4 linked regions of the Drosophila melanogaster genome follow. The protein of the gene in region 4 purifies or fractionates together with the protein of the main gene of each other region. This does not show direct contact. Each region holds a gene or a part of one and is shown on either strand. Other genes may lie near its edges. The genes, in order: Ski6, Mtr3, Dis3 and Spt6.

Region 1 (3,166 bases), on a different chromosome or scaffold from region 4:
CCACCGACTCGGCTGTAAGAATTGTTCATCTGCCCACGGGTCTGGCGGTGGAGGCGCAATCGGAACGCTCCCAGCTCAAAAACCGGGAGCTAGCGATGAAGCGTCTACGGTCGCGACTTGTGCAACAGCAGTTGGAGAGCGTTGAGGCTAGCAAAATGGCCACCAAGAAGGCGCAACAGGGTAGTCTCAATCGCAATGAGAAGATCCGTACCTACAATTTCGTCCAGGACCGCATAACGGATCATCGAATTCAAGGCGGTACGCTGCACAACCTCAATGGTTTCCTCAAGGGCGGCGACCAACTGAGTGGACTAATAGAGAAGTTGCAACTGGAACATCGAAGGGAACGACTAAAGGAGCTCTTGGATAGGTGGGAGCCACCAAAAGAAGCTATTGAGAAAAACTAGAGCTACTTTCGTTTGTTACTACATTTATACGCCTGTGTTTTAGAGGATAATTGTGCTTTTGCAACAGAAATTATATTAAAAGAGAGCAAGGGCAGCCATCTGAATACAATGTTAAAGACACTATTTAATTTGTAAATGTTGGTTCCTTTTTATTATAATTGTTGCCCTTCAATTGTAAAAAACGACAAGATTGGAATAGAAAAGATTACTTTATTTCAACCAACTTTCGCAAAGTCAGAGGCACTGCCCATGTGCAGAAGGTGCTCCTTGACTGCTGCCTCCAGAATGTCCCTTATTTCGCGGCAACCCGCCATAGCAGTCTCGATGACGGTTTCCAAGTGATCGATGTGGAACCGCTCACTCATCTCAAGAAAGGCGATTTTCTCGGCGGTAGGCAAGGCAGCCACGGTTAGTTTCGGTCCGCCGGATACCTCCTCGAACTGAGAGATGTCTGTGAGCGGGATGTTCGATTTGCTCAGTGAGGCGGTGCAGGCGACAATGAACTCATTGAGGCAGATTCCCGCATCAATTAGCGCCAGTGTGGCGGCATTAAGAGCCACCGCATAGTTGGCGCCGTCGTCTTGGAGCACCTCCACGTATATGTCTATCTGGGAGCGGGGATATAGTTCTGATTTAATGGCAGCACTTAGCGCCTGCTGCAGGTACAACTTGAACTCCAGAGATTTGCGATCGCCGCGCGGCCTATTTTTGCGCTCCGCCGTGGAGAAGGTTGCCTGACTGTACTGACAGTTGATGACGGACTCTGTCTGATTGCCCTTGGCCTGGTGGGGTCCATAGACGGCAGCCAGAACCTTGGTGTTTCCCTGCTCCATGTAGGCACTTCCATCGGGCTGCTCGAAGACTCCCAGTTTGCACTTGATGCGGCGCAATTCATGAGGACGTCGTCCGTCCAGACGGAGGCCCTGCTCACTGAGCAGATCGTATTTACCAGACATATTTTGAAACTTTAGAAATACAATTATTTTGATTTTAACTAAATATCACACGTGCGGCGGGATTTGTTTACAATTTTAACAACAGTGTGGAAGTACTAAAAATACCGACAGTCCATGAAAAAATCCTTTTTATACTAACTTCTTTTAATATGTACACCGTACGTATGTAAGAGTAAATAAATAATTAAGCATATATTGCCAAAGTGTACTACATTAAATCACGATATATAGAAATTTAATAAGGATTTTAATAAGATTCTTTAAATTTAAATTTGAACAGTGTTTGCTTTGATTACCCCTACTACAACATTTTGGAATTTAACAACACTAACACATGGTCTAATCGATATCCGATAACCGAATACCGATAATCGTTCAGGATTTGTGGTAACTCTAAAATATATAAATAGTTTCGAGTGCAAAAAACGGAATTTATGGGAATAAAATAAATAAATAGTAGCTGAATCGTGTAAGAATCTGTGCTTGCCAGCACCAGAAATACGCAAAATGTCCAAGTCAAGCGCAGGTGGGTTTATAACATCGTGAAAACGAAACAAACTGAACAGACGCTTCCGGGTGCGAAACAAAAATAAAGACCTAAAAAATATCACACACTTTAAAAATAATGAACTCACCACCGAAAATTACAGCACGCTGGGTAAAATTCTTCAATGCGGCCGGCATCCCATCTCCTGCGGCTGCCGGCTATGCCCACGTCTTCGTGGAGAACCGCATCCAGGACGACATGCTGTTGGATCTTAACAAGGAGTATCTCCGGGAAATGGGCATAACCTTGATGGGCGATATAATCGCCATCCTGCGGCACTCAAAGACCGTCTGCGAACAGAATGCCCGGGAACAGGTCCTCACAACGGAGGTGGTTCAATCAGTTGTCCGACCGGTATCGCCAAAACCCAAAGCGCCGGTTGCAACTCCAAAAGCAAAGGTTTATCCGCCTGCGAAACCTGCAAGACGGGTGCTTCCGGAGCACGAGGGCAAGTACAAGGTGACACTGCCCTCGGGAACCACCGAGCGCAGCAAACAGATCTTAGCCAAGCGGGAAAAATGTAAGATTACAGATTTCTAAAGAACAAGATCAAATTTTCAATATATCTTCTTTTAGTATACTCCGATCGTGTGAGCAGCTCCAAAAAGTCGGACATATTTACGCGCCTGCATGCCGAGGACGAGGCGCAGGAGGGCATTGTCTCCAGTTCGGGCGAGAGCAGCGTCCGCGTGCACGTTGCCGGCGCATCAAAAACAGCGGCCACCTCCAGCAATAATTCGGTCTTCGCTCGACTCGGTGGCAAGCAGGGCGCTCTTCCGGAGGAGTTCACTTCGACCAGGGAAATCAAATCGATCCTTAAAAACACACACCGTACAGTTGGTGGTGGAGGAGGAGGAGGAGGGGTCACCAAGAACTCGCCCATTGTGAAAGCGAAGAAGGTGGCCGCTGTAACGCAGCAAAAGGTCATGCTAGTTCACAAAGTGCCTCTTAAAAAAGGCGACGACGACGATGATAGCATGGACGATTTCGAAAGTGACGAAGAGGATTACATGTCCAGCGGAGAAGATTTTGATATGGGAGCCGGCGAAAAGATTGTTAAGTTCGCCTCGACAGCGGAGGTTCGGGAAATCGTTCCCGAATCGGCATACAAAAATAGGCAGGGCAAAAGTTTTGCGAATAATATTAAATCAAGGCTCGGAATGGGTATGTTTGCTTCAGAGCAGAAGTGGCACAGTCAATTAATTTATAACATTTTTTTTAGTATCCAAACTTCATGCCACGAAGAAGACATACAA
Region 2 (3,639 bases), on a different chromosome or scaffold from region 4:
GCAGCGCAAGCTGAGGGAAGACACCAGCTGCGGTGTACATGTCAGCGTCTATCGCATACGAGATCTGCAGGACAACCAGAGCAAGAAATTCAAGGTGGAGACCAATGCCAAGCAGCTGCAGATGACCGGCAGCGTGGTGTTGTTCCGGGATTGCTGTGTGGTTGTCGTGGAGGGTGGGCCCAAGCAGCAGAAAAAGTATCGCAGGCTCATGCTAACGCGCATTAAGTGGGAGGAGGACAACGCCAAGGGCAATGACGGCCAGGACGTGCCGAACTCATGCGTACTCGTCTGGGAGGGGACTAGTCAGCGACGGCACTTTGGCGAGATCAAGTTTAAGATCTTTCCAATGGAAAAAATGGCCCGTGAGTTTTTTCAGAAGCACCAGGTCGAACACTACTGGGATCTGGCCTACTCCGGAGCCGTGCTTGAGGCCTCCACGGATCAGCAGTAGATAAAAGGCATTTTAAGAATTGCTAGATACACTACAGTTCTACAAATTCACTTTCGGAAAGATACAAGTCTGAATTAAAGTTTTGAAGCGCGCTACGCATTTGATGTTATTATTTTCGAAGCTATTCGGAACTTTGGAAGTGCAAAAATAACGAATAAAAGTTTTATCTGGACTCTAAATATTTGTAGTAATCATTTTTTAAGTGGTGGTTGTTGTTCAAATAGATCTGGGATTTATATTAGTATGATTTATTCTCAACCAACTACTGCCTCTTTACATAGGGATCCTCCCGGATGTTCGATTGTATAAACTCCTCTGGTCCTTGCTTCTTTAGCTTCTCGATTATTTCCTCCAAACGCTGATCTTCTAGAGCGGTCTCGGCTTTCTCGCGTAGATCTAGTTCGTGCTGCTCCTTCACCCGCTTCGTGAGCACGCCTTTGACTAGTTCTCTCAGGGACTTGTTAATGGCCAGGGTGTAATCCAGCAGCTTTACATAGGTGGCTGGACTGAGATATCCGCACTGCTGGCACTGGGCGATCTGTTCAAAGGTATCCATGCTGGCGGTAATGATCAGGCCGTGCTCCTGGGCGGATGATGGGCTGGTTGTGCTATCGGTGCTGCTGTTGCGATGCTTCCAGAGCAGCTCCTCAACCTTGGCACTGGGATTCAGGAAGACGTGATCCCGATAGATACAAGCTGTGGAGGCCGTAATTAAGTCGTAAGTGGAAATGCCGCACTCCACCAAAGCGACTCCGCAGCAATTGATGGCAGTGCTGAGCAGGCAGCCGTCATCGTCGAGAATAAGCACCCGTATGTCCAGCTGAAAGTTAAGGAACTCCGTGCGGCACACCACCGGCTCCATGGCCTTGGTCAGCATGCTGCTCAGGTGGCGTTCCCGTTCCGGCACCGAATCTAGATCCCCTGTGCTGAAGGCCGCAAAATTCACATAGCAATTCAGAACACCCATGTTCATTCTGCGTGCGCTGGCGCGGATTAGCTCCTTTGGCGGGGCCACAATGGCCAGAACCTTGGTGTTACCATACTCCATGTAGGCGGAACCTCTCACTGTGGTCAACACACCGGCGCGGATGACTGTAAGTCACAAGAGGTATGAGAAATTGAAATACAAATAAGGATGTGCACTTCTAACAGGTGTTTCTGGGTGCCAGTTGTGTTGGCTCCCTCGACGGTTTGTCTAGACTCTCAAAGAAATCCTCGCTTTCCTGCGGAGTTGTGTACGGCTCTTCCTCAATGGAGGCTCCATCGAGTAGGGTGTTCTTCGTCTGGTTCACCGCTAGCATATTTATATTATATCTTTTGATTGAATATAAAAATAAACAAACTGAGTTCACATGTGGTCTAAAGACTTTTAAGTTTTCGATTAAAATACAAATCTGGTATTTTTGTATATTTCGATATTTTATACCGATTCTGTATCGTTTCGTGGGTTATCGTATTTGAATGAAAACCTTCAAAGAACCTTAATAATAAGAACCTAAAATAAGTCTTCTTATTAGTGCTAATTGTGCTAATTATTTATAAAGTCTAAATAATGTTTTGATTCCTTCTGATAATTGATAACTTAGTAGTATTTTCTTTGTTACTAAGAGAAAAAAGAGCTTAAATATAATCGCAGAAAAATCGATTGCCGAAGTGTAAAACAACGCTTAAGATAACGCTAATCCACTCGGTACAGACTGAAGAGATTTCTGGGAATATGGCCGACAAGAAGCACTGCCATGGATGGCCTTGCATCAGGCCTGGAATAGTGTGTCGCGGAATAGAATACTGATGGTAGGATATATGCCCGCGTTATAGATTTTACTTTTGAATTTCAGTGAAGAGTTGCGAGGCTAGCTTTAGTATTATCTTAAAAGAAAATTCAAGACAAGTAAAAGCCATGCGGAATAGCCATTATTTCGGAGTTACCCATTCATAGTTTGAAACCCATATCTCTAATATTATATACACCTGACGACTGATTCCTTTTTTTGCAGGACCAAAAGTTCTGCCATTGCTGCTGATATGAAAGTCAAGAGAGAAAAAAATTAGAACCACAATACCTCGGATCAAGAGGATTTCTCAAATTCACAGCTTTTGGGGTCCGATGACGGAGACAGTTTTGTAGGAGATGCCGAGAATTCATCTAATGAATCAGTGTCAGTGAAATAATGTTTTTCCTAAACTCACGAAGATATTACGCAGGATGAATGTTGGAACTAGAGAGATCCATTAACATCCTAACCAACCATCAACCAATTTCTGAAGAAATCAGATTAGATCAGTTAATTTCAAGAGACCCATTTTTGCATATTGGGACTCGCTACTTCACCAAATACTTCCGCAGCAAAAGCAGACAAGAGTTTTTTGGCCAGAAAATAACGCATTGTGTCATAAGTAGCCCAACATGTTTGAAAATATAAACGATCTCCGTTGATATCAAGGAATTACAGCTAATACAACTGCAAAGGCCGGAAGTTAAATGGATATTTAAAATATCTGCATATCACAACATTTTTAAATATATACACATACACAAATATAGTTAGCTTTTTCTTTCACTTTCTAAACCTTTCAATTTTGATTGGCAAGGCCCCTAAAAATCGATAAGGTGAAAGTCACTGCCATCACTATTTGAACGTTACCAGCTCGTGGTAACGGTAGCTGATTATTCTGGTATTTTAAACAGATTAGCGCGGCATAGCCTGGCGTTCGCCGCGCGGTCACACTGCAAAAAGCGCTGTGTAATTCTGCTGTTTCAACAACGAAAAAGAAGGAACAAAGCCGCATAAACCGCATTACAATCGAAGAAAACGTAGTGCCAATTAAATCCCTTAAGTCCGACAAGCTAGGAAAGAAATCATGACGGGCGAGACCAAGCTGGAGAAGAAGCCGCTGAAGCCGGCGGCATCCGAAGGCGATGCCAAGGATCCGAAGGCCAAGAAGGATGAAAAGAAGGACGGCAAGGACAAGGAGCAGCAGCCGGAGCTCTCCGACGAGGACCAGCAGCTGCAGGAGGAGCTGGAGCTGCTGGTGCAGCACTTGCAGGAGCCGGATGCCAAGCTCTACCAGCCGACGCTGGAGAGTATGGCCAAATTGATCAGAGCCTCCACGACGTCGATGACCTCGGTGCCCAAGCCTTTGAAGTTCATGCGCCCGCACTACGAAACCATGAAGACGGTGTACAA
Region 3 (6,321 bases), on a different chromosome or scaffold from region 4:
TATTGGGTTAATCGCTGCTTTTAATTAGGCTATCAAACTAAATTACAAACCTTCCACTCCATACCACCTTACACACACCAGGCACATTGAATTTTAAATTTTCCAAATGTCGCGGTCACTCAACTGATTTCTATATACCCAACCTGGCACCCATGTACTGCACATATGCGTCGGGTGTGCGGCTCACCCAGACGCCGAGCATAATCCACACGTGATTGGCGATGGATATTGGACCTAAAAGCCTCCTTGTTGAATAAGCTAATCGAATTCATTAATATTTAGTGCCGACAGTTTGGGCGCACAACTAAACACTAATTAATCACTTCAAAGTCGCATCGAAAGTTCATTATTTTAATTGGCGAGCAGTGGTTTAAAACACAATATTTATCACCTTGAACTCTTGTGCATAAATTATCTATCTATCTACATCGCACTGCAAGAATCCAAGAATATTGTAAAAAGTTGGACTCCACTTAGATAGTTTTTGGAAAATTCGAAAATCTATAGAATTCATTTAGATCACAACGAAAGTTGGCATATTAGTTTTCCAAGCACTTTATTTGATGTTCTAAAAGTTGTTTATTTTAACTGATGTTTTCAATATGCGTATTAAAATATGTGTACCGATATAAATATATGTTCCGCAAAAATCACGCGATTACTCATTGATTAAATTTTTTAGCCTTTTCATATGAATTTCGAAACCTTTTTCGACTTACTGCCTTCGTAGTTCACTGCACTAGGACCGGGTTCCATTGTAACTTTGTATAACTTCCGTTCTTGTATATATTCAAGTCAAGTTAATGTATATATGTATTTATTATATATATTCTTTTTGAATTTTTTGGATCAAACGAGCTCAGCACAACCGTCGCACTGTAGTCGAAACTTTGCAATGGGTCTGGAGAATGTAGAACGCAAGTTGGAAACCAAAACCTTAAACAAAACACCCGATCAAAGGTATGCTTTCGAAACTCTCCGAGATCGGCAGAGCCGGAACGGTGGAAAAGGTTTACGAAACGGAGCGGAATTTAAAAACCTTACATTTTATTTATACGAAATGATTGTAGTTACACATCTTCAGCGTAGTCTAGTTCCACATAAGCAAAGATCCAAAGAATTACTTCTTTTTCTTATCCTTCTTTGTCTTTTTCGATGGAGGTGCCGCAGAAACCGCTTGGCTATCAGTTCCTTCGGTGGTCGTTTCCACGCTGAAGCCCTTGATGTACGGCTTGACCAGCCGGAAGATCAGCTTCTCGTGCTGCACATTGCTGGAATCCAGGCTAAGACGAACCGTGACTGGATCAAAGGAGTGGAACACCACGTCACCGCAACGCTGTGTATGATCCTCTTCGTTGAAGGTGAAGACAATCTCGCTCTTGACGCGCTCCACACCGTCCTTGCCATCCTTGTCCGACTTTAGATACAAAGTGCCTTCCAGGCCATACTTGGGGATTAGCACTTGCAGAGCATTCTTGCGCACAAATAGCACATATCTAGGGATGGGTAATAATTGAAAAGAATGTTGCCCACTAGTGGTTTCTTCGACTCACCCTTCCTCATCCTCCTCCTTGCCGCGGAAAAAGAGATGCGTGTTGAGGGCCACTGATGCGCGACCAGCGTACTGAGCCATTTTGTGGCGGTAGTTAAGATTATGACACAGCTCCTCATTTGACTTTCGGTCCAATAGCTGGGCATAGGTGCTATCCGCGCCGATTGAGGCGGCCAGCAGGCGATGTACCATAATGTCGGAGTAACGACGAATGGGCGACGTAAAGTGCGTGTAGATGGGAGCAGCCAGACCGTAGTGGAAGAACTCCTCCTTCTGCAGACTGCCGCTGATGAAGTACACTGCCTGCATCATACAGCGTGTGGTGAGGATGCGGATCATTGTGTTAAAGTACGGATTATCCGCCTTGACACACTTGTCCAGTGAATGCGACAGCTCCAGTCCCGAATTGATGTCCACCTGGAAGCCCTGGTAGCGCGCAGACTTTACCAGCGGATCGAAATTGGTAGGCGGTGGCCGAGGATGGCGACGCAGAACAGCGCACTCGGAGAACTCCGTTGCGATATGCTCGGCCACCGTGATGTTGGCCAGCAACATGAACTCCTCCACCATGGAATTCGTCTCGCGCATCTGCTTCACCTCCACCTCGAGTGGTTCGTGTGTCTCGCTGTCCACCTGGAAGCGGATCTCCGGGGAGGCAAGGACAAGGGCTCTGTAAATTATGGATGCCTTAGTTCACTTGATTACGAGGTGTTAATATAATCTTACCCATTATCCATTCGTCGCTTTTTCAGTATTTTGGCCAACCGATTAAGATTTCTCAGGGACTTGGCTATTTCATTCTGTTGCGTGGCATCGTCGATGATATTCTGCGCTTCCTCGTAGGTCATGGCACGCTTCGATTTGATGACGCTCTTGTGGAAGCGTTTGCTTAACACATTTGCTTCATTGTCCACTTCCCACACGCAGGAGAAGGCGAATCGCTCAACACCGCCAACCAATGAGCAGAGATTTGAGCTGAGTAACTCGGGTACCATGTCGATTCGTTTGCCCACCAAGTACACGGTGGTTCCCCTGGCCGCTGCCTCCATGTCCAGTGCGTTTCCTGGACGAATAAAGTGACTTACGTCGGCTATGTGAACGCCCACTTCCAGATTGCCGTTCGGTAGTTCCTTGCAGTGCAAAGCATCATCGATATCCGTGCAGCCCGGGGGATCCACAGAGCAAATGTACAGATCCCTCAGATCCACACGCTTGGAATAGTCCTCGTCAGTAATTGTCCAGGGCATTTTCGGCAAGAAGCTAAGCACTTCGTCCGAGAACTTGCAGTGCGGGACGTCGTGCTCCAGCAGGATAACCTCGTTCTCGGTGGCCATGTCTCCGAGCGGTCCCAGGGAGCGCACAAAATGTCCATGTGGGTAGCGCGAGTTGCGCGGCCATGTGTCAATCGTTACGATGATGCGCTGGTTCTGCAGCATTGCTGCCTGTCGCGTTTCGATACGGATGCGCGGAATCTTACGGTCGGCGGGCACAAAGATGTGCCGATTTGTATCCTCTATTAAGCTAGGCTGCAGGATGCCGCAATACTGTCGCCATTTCCGTCGCACAATACCGACAATTCGCCCTGTGGGCGTGCGCTCTGCGGATAAGGCAGCGGCACGCACCTGATTCAACATCTCATTTTCATCCTTGGCCCTTTCCTCGCTGGGCACTTCATCGGCATAGACATTCTTCTCCTCCAGTACAATTTCACTGGGTGCTGACCACTCCGCCTCGGGCAAAAGCTCCACGGCCACCAGGTCGCCATCCACGGCCCGATTAAGAGACTCGCGTCCTTGGATAAGGATCTATTAAACAGAAATCGTATTGTGAAGCGTATGCCAGGGAAGATATTTAGCGTTTTAACTTACCCCCTTTTCGAATTTCTCTACATTGACGGTGCCCTCCAAGTAGTTTTCCCTGGATGCCTGAAAAGTGCCCTGTAGTAGCTTATTTTGGCGCAGTCCTTCCAGCAGCTCCTTCATGCTGAGATGCGGCGGGTACTGGGGCAGACCATTCTTCTCGCTGTCGAATGTTTTGTGCGACAGCTTATCCATCAGAAGTGGAAAATCCTCGAGAGATTTCACGTACTCCGCTGCTGTGGTCACCAGAATACCTTCTGCTTCGGCCTTAGCACGATTGGCAGCATCATCTGTGAGCAGAACAACTCGCGTAGCAGCTTTGCCACTGCGCTCGAACTCTTTAGAGGATTGCGAGGCCTGCAGGTGATCATCGTACCACTTGGTGGCCAGACGAATGGCCCGATCATTGCGATCATTGGCGGTCTCATCTGGTTCGCGATCAGCATAGGTTTCCCTAGAAGAAGCACTATATTATAAAGGTTTCCCAAGAAAATCCATTAACCCACTTGTGGTGCTCGTTGACGAACACATAGAAGTTCCTGGTGCGGTCGTGGACGATCTCATTGAATCGCTTGTAAATGGCGGAGCTCCTGTGCTTCACCTCGTTGAGCACGGTGGTCAGAACGACTACGTTGCGCAAAACATCCTCCTCCAGCACGTCGATCTGGTCCAGAACCACATTTGTGTCCAAAACGAGATAGTGCGGGAATTTGAAGAGGGTGCTCTTATTCGCGTGCTGCGAGGTGAGCTGGTATACCTCGTTTTGGAAACACTCCCGGCACAGCTCGGAGCCGCAGCCGATGTCGTCGCGCAGATAGTGCTCCCGTACAATCTTCAGAATGTTGCCGCGCTTGGTTTTACGCGTAAATTCGCGTAAAGTTTGCATTTTGTTGAACCGCGTTCGAATTGTTACACCTTCACATGTGTGCCGGAATAGGGAGGCCCGTGCATGATTCGACTGCGGTATTATCTGCCTAAGGCCTGTTCACACTGCAGCCGCAATGGTCACAGTGGTTTGAGTCTACGGACTGCCCCGTATCTTAAGGTATAATTTAGTACCATTTATTGAACTGATTTTCTATATCGGCGCTTAGCACGTGTAGAACGCACGTTGCTCAAATTTTGTTATTTAAAACGCTAAATTACACAGCTCCCGGATGGTGCCGAACGAGAAAAGCTTTCCCCGAGGCGGGACAATCCACAGCGAAGTCAAAACCGACGACGTGAGCCTGAATATCGTGAGTTTAGCCAGCGAAATATCCGAGATCTTTGTACATACTTTTCTGTCCCACAGGTTTTCGGTGCCTCGCAGAAGAAGGTGAAGAAGGCGCCGAAAGTAAAAGAGAACCTTCTGAGCTACGAAACCGAGGAACAAAATGGCCAACTGGAGGCCTTCTCCGCGGAAACGCTCAATATGGACACGCTGCAGGAGGACATGCTGGTCATGGGAGTGGTCAAGGAGTTGACAGCCACCGCACTGCAGATCGCTTTGCCCGGTCGGATGTTCGCCCGCACCTTGGTGGCGGATATATCCGACGCCTACACCCGTGTGGCCAAGGCGGCCATGTCCGGAGACACCAGCGAGTACCACGACCTTACCGAGCTCTTCCAGTTGGGCCGCATCGTCTACGGCAAGGCCATCAAAACAGAAAAGCTGGACACCGGTCGGGTTAGCCTGCTCCTTTCCCTCAAGCCGGCCGATGTGCACGGTAATCTGCATCACAAGAGCATTAAGAAGGGTTTCATCTTCTCTGGCGCCGTGGCGGAGGCTCTGGAGCACGGCTATGTCATCGAGTCGGGAGTACAAGGACTTCAGGCATTCGTGCCATGCGAGAAGCCAGCTCAGAAGCTACACGTGGGGCAGTTGGCTTTCCTAAAAGTCAAAACCGTTCATCACGACACCCACCAGAGCACCTGCACCTGTGTCCAGGTGGAGCAGGACCAGCTGCGCATCAAGAGTCAAAACGAGACGAATCTCGACTACATTCTGCCAGGCAGCATTGTAAAGTTTAAGGTGGCCAAGCATCTGAAGGATGGCCTCAAAGGCAGCATCATGAATGAATCCTTTAGTGCCTACGTCAACGAACATCATCTAGCTAACGCTTTGGATACTTTGGATGCCTACGAGCTGAATGAGGATTACAATGCCAGGGTACTCTACGTGATGCCCCTAACCAAACTAGTGTACTTAACTCTTAATCTGGATATCAAAACTGGAGCTGCAGTAGCAAAAGATCAGGATGAGGAAGAGCAGGAGGTAGAGCCCATAAAGGTGGGTTCCGTGGTGGAAAAAGCCAAGGTTCTGCGCTTGGGCAGCGGTGGCGTGGTACTGCTTCTTAATAAGAAACTAAAGGGCATTATCTCATACGGTTCAATCAGAGGCAATTTCAAGGGAAATTATGACAAGGACGAAGTATTGTCCAAATACGGAAGAAAAACGAAGCATAAGGTTCGCATCCTAGGATACGATGTCATCGAATCCTTGTACTACTGCTCCGATGATCCCAACGTGGTCAACGAAAAGCTGTTCTGCCTGGAGGATATTAATGCCGGCGATCTGGTCACAGCGAAAATATTCAAGAAGGATGACAAGATCAAGGGCTGGTCGGTGAGGATCGGCAAGGTCAACGGAATACTGGAACAGTTCTATCTGGCACCCAATGTCCGCTACGATGTGGGTCAGTCGTTGAAGTGCCGCGTCCTAGAAGTTAATGCCGAGCGAAAAATCTGCTACGTGAGCAATCGTGCCGAGTATTTGGGCAAGGGAATTAAAATTCTGACTGATTATGCGTCCGCTCACGTTGGAAACGTCTATATGGGCACAGTAGTCCGATGTGAGGACACTTACGTCCTAGTGAAGTTCGGCAACGGCATCAAAGGAGTTTTGCACAGGCAGAATCTAAAGGAAAA
Region 4 (7,861 bases):
GTCTGTCCACTGGGCGTGTATGGCGTATTGATGGCGCCAAACGACGGCGTCGATGAGCTGCCATAGTGGGAGGAAGATACTCCAGCCCCTGGAGCAGAACTGCCCGACGTGCCGTAGCCAGTGATGGATTGCGTAATGGAGTAGGCGCTGGAACCGCCACCGCCGACGGCACTGCTGATGCCACTGCGCGGCGTTCCACCAGTCACGCTGCCAGTGACGCTGTAGGGCGCCTGGGGGCCCAAGGAGGTCTGGGATGACGACGAGATCGTCGGCGGCGGACGCATCAAGTGCAGTGGCGTTAAGTTGGACGCCGAGGCGCTGGCCGGCGTGGCCGTTGGATCCAGCCAGTGTTCCTTAAACCAACGCAGCAGACTGTTAACCGTATCGAAAATCTGGCCACGGAAACGATAGCCCTCCGGCATGACCGTCACATACTCGTGACGCACCTTCGTCTTGGGCAGATAGGACAGCAGGAACTTGCCCGGCATGGCGCGTGAGGCCGTAAAAAAGTAGTGTATCTTCTTCGGATCATTTGCCTTCTCCTCGCGCAGCAACTTTTCCATGACATCCCGTTCATTTTCATCGCCGGTCACCATGTTTGGCTTGTAGTACTTGTACTGTATCAGTTCGCGGGCAGCCAAGGCCATCGGCATGATGTGGCGGGCGATGATCTCGTCCAGATCCTCGAACTCCTCGGTGCCGATCCACAGACTTCTGCCCAGGCTGAAATCGTTCTCTTTACCCTCCTCGCGCACATCGATGTGCTGGAAGATGTCGTCGGCCACCTTCCAGGTGGCTGTCAGATGGTCCTTGGACTTGCTGCTCGGACGCAGGGCCACCTCGCCCTGATCGGCCTCCGCTAGCATGGCCACCACCTCCGCGTACGACTTGTTGAAGAAGCTGGGATGGGCGATTACGCGACGCGCGTAAATTTTGCGCTTCAGAGCCCTGGCCTTGGCATCGCTCACTTTCCGATTGTCCTGCTCCTCAGTCACATAATCATAGTAGTTGTCGCGACGCGGCCGCCACTCATTGTTCACATCCTTAAGATCAGCGGTCCTCGAAGAGCATTCGACTGAGAACCGGTCAATGTCTATCTTAATGATGCGAACATGAATCATCTGTGAGACGCGCACACGTTCTTCGGGATTGCGAACCTGTCTATCGGACAAGTTCTTGATGTGTATAAAGCCAGGCAGGCCGTTCTCCAGACGCACACGCACACCAGATGGCTGGCCAGGGCACGCGTTCGCGTCAAAGTGATTCCACACCTCGGACAGCTCTGGGAAGTCGTCCTTGTGGCAGAAGGGGCACTGCCAGCTTTCGTTGGAATCTAGACGCACCGGATTTGCGCTGTCTAGCTGATCGCCCTGCGGCCGACGGTAGGTGAAACCGGTGACCATGGCCGTGACGCACTTGCCCACATAAAACGAGTCGGGCGTCTCCTTGGTCAGCATATCGAAGAGCTCCTCCGCACTGGGCTTTGTGTACGGAGTGCGGTAGTCCTTGTACAGGCAGCTCAACTCGTTCCTTATGTCGTACAAGGTTATGCTCTTGCTGCCGAATCCCTGGCGCTCCAGTTCCACAGCGAATGCGTCCAGATCGAGATCCTTAAGGCGCTCTGGCGACTCGAGAATTTCCTCAAGGGCACCGGCCGGATTGGTCTCCTCGTCGTCGTACTCCATGGCATCGATGGCCATCTTTCTGGCCCACTCGTACGTTTCTGGATGCACACGCGACCCGTCCAGCACCTCGACATACGCCTCTGTGCTGTCGCCCAGCGATGAGGTATCGATCTTAATGAAACCGCTGCAGTTGATAAAGACCCTGGGCCCCAGATGACACACGGTGACCAGCTGGGTGCGGTTCTCCAACCGCTGGTTGCTCTGCTTAAGAAGTTTAAGTAAAGCCTGACCCTTGCGCGGACCCAAGCCACAGATGTACTGCAGCAGGTTGATGGTCCGTGAGTTCTGCACCATCAGGTTAATGTCCAGACCCACCTCGCTCGTTCGATTGATAAACTGCAGGCTGAGCTGCTCCAGCAGCTGTTCGCGCGGCACACGCTCCTGTAGCGGATGGTAGCGCAGGCAGAGAATCTCGTCGTCCGCATCACACAGCTGTGAGTATTCCACTAGCGGATCCTGCATCTTGCGGGCCAGCGAAGCAGCCTGCTTCAGCAGAGGAGGATACTCCTTAAAGTCAGACTCGCCCTTCTTCGAGTTGGCATAGATCTTGGCCAGCTCGTTGTCGATTATCTCCACCTCGATGGGCGGAAATTGTTCGGAGGTCTCGAGTTCATGCAGAATCTCCTTAATGTCTGCCTGGATGTTCTGGGCATCGCGCGATTCCGCTCCGATGACAACAATGTGTGGCTTCTTCATTTTGATAAAGTCACTCAGCTTTCGAAGGTCGGCCAACTTCTGGGCCTTCTCCTCAAGGTTGTAAGAATTCTTGCGCTTCAGAATGTTCGGCAGTCGCAGGTAGTCGGAGATGTCGCCCTCCACGGTAGTCACCGCACAGAAAGCGGCCACTGAGTGATCGGGATCGTAGGCCAGACCCAGCACCCGTATGCCCCTCAGCGTGCTCCACTCCTCGTAGCCAAAGTCGGGGGGCAGTTGCGGTTTATAGGGTGCCACCTTTAGCCACTTATACAGCTTACCCGTGCAGGAACGCAGCACAAATTGCTGAGCCTCCTCGTGCAGAGTTGAGCGCAGCTCCTTGATCAGATCCGGAATGACCCACTTCTGCAGCGCCAGCTGTACGCATTCCGCCCGCAGCTTATTCCACTCCTGCACGTGCTTGGCAAACTGATCCAGCTGGTACAGGGCCTTGGACTCTTCCACATAGTCACCGGGTGTTCCGTTGGCACACGCATTGCCCTCGAACTCCTCGAGGAACGTTATCTCCAGCAGCTTCTCCTCCTCGGCCATCATTAGCTTTATGAATTGATCGCCAAATAGATCGCTTACCGGCTTCTTGGCCACGTACTTCATCGAATACACCGGCGAATTCTCATCGATCAGCACCATGCCATTCTTGGTGGGCCGTATGTTAATCCTAGCTCTGTCGAAATACACCTCACGCATGGTCTTGCGCAGCAGAGGCTCTTGTGCCAGCTGTCGGGCCACAACGTATTTTGCGGCATGGATAACCTCATCCGTGGTCATGAAGCGCGGCGACAAATATTGCTTGGCCAGCTCTGTGGGACCGATGCTTTCCTGGGTGATCTCATTGCGCTGGTAATTGTCGCGCAGATTTTCGGCATACTGCTCCGGCGTGAGACCAAAGTGTTTGGCAAAGCCGCAGATGCCCGCCTTGCGGAATACCGCATAGGGACTGCTGTTGGACGCCTGCTTTAGTTGGTAATCGATCAGCTCGGGATCGTCATCGTCTTCCGGCTCTGGTACAACTATCGCCTCGGCCGCATCATCACCGTTCTCAGCGGCGGCTGCCTGGCGACGCGCCTTGGCCTCGCGACGCTCCTGTATAGCTTTTCGTCGCTGCTCCGCCTGCATGCGGGGCAGCTCATGCGAATAGTTCAGCAGAAAGTACATGTGCACGTCCTTTAGCTCCTCCATCGACTGTACGTCGGCGAGGCGCTCGAAATCGCTGTCCAGGATGAGGCGAACATCATCCGGTACGGGTTGATCTGTGTCGGCGCATAGCGTGTCCAGCTGGAACTGACGCATCTTTTCGAAAAGCACCTTTAGCTTGCGCTTTCGCTCGTTTAGCTGACACCAGATCCCATCGTAGTAGTAAACCTTCCAGAGATCGTCGATATTAAGCTCTGGCTTCACATACTCCTTGCGATAGAAGGCTATAAAGGGCACCTCCAACTGCTGGTTGCGTATAAATTCTAGCGTCTGCTTAATCTTGTTAACGGTTGTCGGTGGTTTGCGCATTTTCTCGCGGCTCTCCGGCTTTTCCTGTTCCGAAACAGTGTGCTTGCAGAAGGCATATTTGTAGATCCATTCAGCCTCGAGGTCCAGCTCGTCTGATCCCTCGGGCACCGGGGTTACGGGCACCTCTCGCAGCTGCATTCTTTCTGGGATGTCTGTCTTGCGAATCTCGTTGTCCATATCGGTGAAATGACCACGCTTGAGCTCGCTGGGCTCGTATATGTCGAAGATTGTCTTCTTGACCACCTTCTTTTTGAGCGCTTTCTTCTTCTTGACGCGCGTATCATCGCCGACGCCCAGATCCTCATCGTACTCATCTCCTTCCGAGTCATCTTCGTAGTCGTCTTCCTCGTACTTTGAGAAGTCGTCATAGTCGAAGTCTACGCCAAAGATGTCCTGACCCTCTTGAAGTGATCTGTGGTTGGATTATATTAATCGTATCTATTGATATCTAAACTTTATTATAGTTTGTATACTTACGCGTCTGTAAAGATGGGGCGCCGTTTCTTCTTCTTCTCGGCTATGGGACGCCCATTATCGTCCACAATGAAGTCATCTGCGTCCGACTCCGTATCCACGTCGTCGTAGTCGTCCGCCTCCCTGTGACTGCGCTCGCTGCGATGACCAATGCTCTGTAGGATCAGGGGCAATCAGTTGGACACTGTGCATTAATTGGTGGTCAGGGATTACTAGTGGCATACCTCATCGTTCTCGTCGAACAACTGCTCGGCAATCTGCTCACGCACCAGACCCTCGTCCACGTGCTGCTCCTCGCCATCGCTTTCGTTGTCGTGGATGCGACGCAGACGCTTGAACCGCTTCTACAAGGGAAAACATAATTTCAAACAATATATTTGAGGAGATAGAAGCCCCAATCCCTCAGCTATGTTATTCTTTGTTAGTTAAGCTTCGAAATTGGAGCCACAATTGGAGTTTAAAAAGTACATAGTTCTTCCCTGAAGGGAACACCTACCCGTCTCTCGACTTTGACGCCCAGATTCTCCTCGATAAGATCGTAGTCGTCGTCCTCCAGTCGATCGTCCAGATCGTCGTCCTCGTGCTTTTTGCGCTTCTTGCCGCTGCCGACGCCATCGGAATCGTAACCACTGCCATCGTCCTCCTCGATGGGATTGTCGTCGATCAGATCTTTGAGCTCTTCGCGCAGCCGTTCCTCGTCGTCTACGGAATAGGGCAATAAGAATATCGGTTTACCTTTTACCTTCATTGTAGCCGCAGATATACATATGCAACTGAAAACTGTTTTTAAAGCTTAAATTTAAGTAATTCACCCGGTTTTGAGAAAGACCTACATTTGATAAATTACCTAGATTTCGATATAGATAAGCCCTAACCATTGATTATTCCAGCTCCATCTATTGAACTAATTCTCCCTCCCTGCTTTGATTTGCAATTTCTTGGAATACGCCGCGTTCTTCCAATTCGCCGCACTTGTTTTATTTACTGGAACGAGCGCAGCTGTTTGTTGTTGTTGCTGCTGCTATTGCTACTGCTGATGCTGATATTTGATGGCCACGGTAGCACGGTAAAAACACAAGACCTAACCTCAAAGTTGTAAACAAAAGAAGTTGCAAGCGTGTGGCATTGGCCAGTTATAGGTGCCTTTATCCCGGATATGGACTGTTCCGATCGATGGATGGTGAGAGGGGTGAAAAACCCGCCAGAGATCGCCACATACGTATGTATGTATGTATGTATTTGTACGCGCCTTCAGCGGCTCCAGTGGAAAAACTCACCTTCTTCTTCTTCGCTACTATCGGAGACGGCCGCCTTCAGTTTCTTGAGTCTCTTGCGCTCGTTGACGTCCAATTCTTCCTCCTCCTGCGGGAAAAACGAAGAAAAGCCATTTGGTTAATTCAATATATATGTAGGCACATATGTATGTACACACACGCAAGGCGCAACGCACACCGCACACATAACGACGCACGAACGGTACGCGCTTCTAGAAATAGTGTTTTTGGGGTTCCGCAGACACCTACCTCCGATTCCTCGGCCTCGGAGTCCAGAAATTCGGCCATAATATAATGGAATAAAGCTTAACTTAATAATAAAGTGCGTATTAATGCAGAGAAACGAAGAGTTTGTGAGCGTTTCTTCCTCTTCTCTTCTTCTTTATTTCTCATCGCATTGCACAAAAGTTGGTATTAAAATACTAGCTAAATACTAAATACCACGAACAGTTTTCTACTGTTTACAGTACAGTTTGCTGTTAGCTTACAGCAGTGTTCTCGCTGCCAGCCCTGGTTTGCATTGCAGAACTACAGTGGATCCTTCCTATAACCTATGGTTAGTTATCCGTTTTCATGTGCTGACAACAATTGGACAAGAATTTTGCACACATACTTGTATTGATAAGCGGGAAAATTCCCCTATATGGGAACACACATATGCCCTTTGGTCTCAACGATGAAGTTTGCTAATTTCCATTATAGTCCATGGCATACTTCCTTTACATAGTTGACTTTTATGAGTTCTTACCGAAAAACCAACACTAATTGTAGCGCATAATAATTTCTCTCAAAAACTAGTGGTAAACGTAATGAACAATAATAATAATAAGCAATAAACAAAATTCGCAAACTTGTGAATTAAAAGTTCTTTAAAATTATTAGTGCATTTGGTATTTTGTGTAGCTTCTAAAGCCTTATTTTTGCTGGCTTTCCTTGTCTTCCCGTACACGGGCACACTTGTCGCGCTGCAGTTACATTTACTGCTCCGCCGTCTCTGGGCACACTGTATTGTTGTTGCTCGACGAGGAAATACTATTAGTATTTTTTTTCGTTCATCCTGAAAGTTTAAGTGGACGAAACGAGCGGCGGCCGACTCGACACCGAGCCGAAATTCAGAAAGTCTATTGCTTTGGTCGAGAACAGATTGTCAGGGAACTTCACTTCATTTACGCTCCCAAACAAACGGCAAAGGTAGCATTTCCAAAAACGAATTAAATCGAAATCCAAATAGAAATAGAAGTAGAATTAGAAAAGCCATAAGCGCAAGTTAACGAGACAAGACAACAACAATTCGATTCGGCGGTTTTTGTTTTTTTGCCAGTGTGTGTTTGTGCTACGCTGTGAGTGTGCATTAGTGTCCGGTGCTCCTGTTGTTGTTCTTGTTGCTGTTGTTGTCGCTTATTGTTGTTCTTGCTGTTATTGTTGCTGTTGTTCGCAAGGCACAATAACACAGGCTCATACAATTGCGAATATTTAGAAAAAGCAAAGCATATACATATGTGACAACAAACGCCAAGGAAAAACTGGAAAGCTAAGCAAAGGAAAACCAAGAAAAAGAAAACAAACAATTGAGAAATTAAGAAGCGGCAACTGAAGCAGCAACATGGACATATTGAATGAGTTCAGCAATGTATTCTGGAGTACGCACATTTGGCTGCCGCCGAACACAACCTGGGCGGACATTGCGCCCGGCTCGCGTCCAGATGTGGTGCACGCCAACTACAAGGACCTCATATGGCCCATTCCATTCGCCGCTGTTGTCATGCTGGTCCGCTACACGCTGGAGCGGTAAGTTTTCCACGTCCATTTTCCCCCCTCCGCACTCTTCCCAACCAACTGACTGACTCCCTTTCCATTCTCGCCATTCCCGGCAACATGATTCCATTCCGCCTCTTTCTCTAACCCCATTCATACGGCTTTCCCTCGCTCTCTCCCGCTCTTTCTCGCTCTCCTTACCATTGAGTAAGCCCACCGCCCCACGTTTGTTGCACCATGTACAGTAAACTTTATTCATAATTCCTTCTTTTCTCCATTTCATTTCATTTTTTTTTTATCGACAAACATAACCTCACGTGGAAACGCCCAACATTCTGCAAGCGTCCGTGTAAATATATATATATATGTGTGTGTGTGTGAAACAGCGCTTGTTTGCTTGTGTGCGGTTTGTGCGGCATACACGCGTTTTTTGTTGCTGCAACTCGAAGTTTTCCC

The links.
Region 1: the proteins of Spt6 (region 4) and Ski6 purify together in Drosophila melanogaster (co-purification; one study listed by BioGRID). This does not show direct contact.
Region 2: the proteins of Spt6 (region 4) and Mtr3 purify together in Drosophila melanogaster (affinity purification with western blotting; one study listed by BioGRID). This does not show direct contact.
Region 3: the proteins of Spt6 (region 4) and Dis3 purify together in Drosophila melanogaster (co-purification; one study listed by BioGRID). This does not show direct contact.

Annotation. Positions count from the first base shown.
Region 1 is NT_033779.5:13,220,859-13,224,024, forward strand, and holds Ski6 (Ski6), read right to left. Parts: upstream 1,572-3,166; 5' UTR 1,503-1,571; intron 1,450-1,502; exon of another isoform or gene 1,373-1,449; 5' UTR 1,364-1,372; coding exon 623-1,363; 3' UTR 539-622; downstream 1-538. Other genes in the region: mRF1 (mitochondrial translation release factor 1), read left to right, coding at 1-407; CG16812 (uncharacterized protein), read left to right, coding at 1,871-1,889, 2,014-2,430, 2,487-3,074, 3,133-3,166.
Region 2 is NT_037436.4:19,911,878-19,915,516, forward strand, and holds Mtr3 (Mtr3), read right to left. Parts: upstream 1,839-3,639; 5' UTR 1,753-1,838; coding exon 1,602-1,752; intron 1,544-1,601; coding exon 714-1,543; 3' UTR 528-713; downstream 1-527. Other genes in the region: Prp3 (precursor RNA processing 3), read left to right, coding at 1-451; Rpn1 (regulatory particle non-ATPase 1), read left to right, coding at 3,314-3,639.
Region 3 is NT_033777.3:24,331,469-24,337,789, reverse strand, and holds Dis3 (Dis3), read right to left. Parts: upstream 4,358-6,321; 5' UTR 4,298-4,357; coding exon 3,918-4,297; intron 3,866-3,917; coding exon 3,421-3,865; intron 3,358-3,420; coding exon 2,279-3,357; intron 2,223-2,278; coding exon 1,554-2,222; intron 1,497-1,553; coding exon 1,121-1,496; 3' UTR 757-1,120; coding exon of another isoform or gene 720-756; 3' UTR 542-719; downstream 1-541. Other genes in the region: CG6432 (uncharacterized protein), read right to left, coding at 720-756; Rrp5 (ribosomal RNA processing 5), read left to right, coding at 4,569-4,649, 4,706-6,321.
Region 4 is NC_004354.4:6,265,984-6,273,844, reverse strand, and holds the start of Spt6 (Spt6), read right to left. Parts: upstream 6,049-7,861; 5' UTR 5,939-6,048; coding exon 5,900-5,938; intron 5,739-5,899; coding exon 5,654-5,738; intron 5,079-5,653; coding exon 4,873-5,078; intron 4,721-4,872; coding exon 4,601-4,720; intron 4,532-4,600; coding exon 4,380-4,531; intron 4,315-4,379; coding exon 1-4,314. Other genes in the region: schlank, read left to right, coding at 7,254-7,438. UniProt on the Drosophila melanogaster protein: Histone H3-H4 chaperone that plays a role in maintenance of chromatin structure during RNA polymerase II transcription elongation.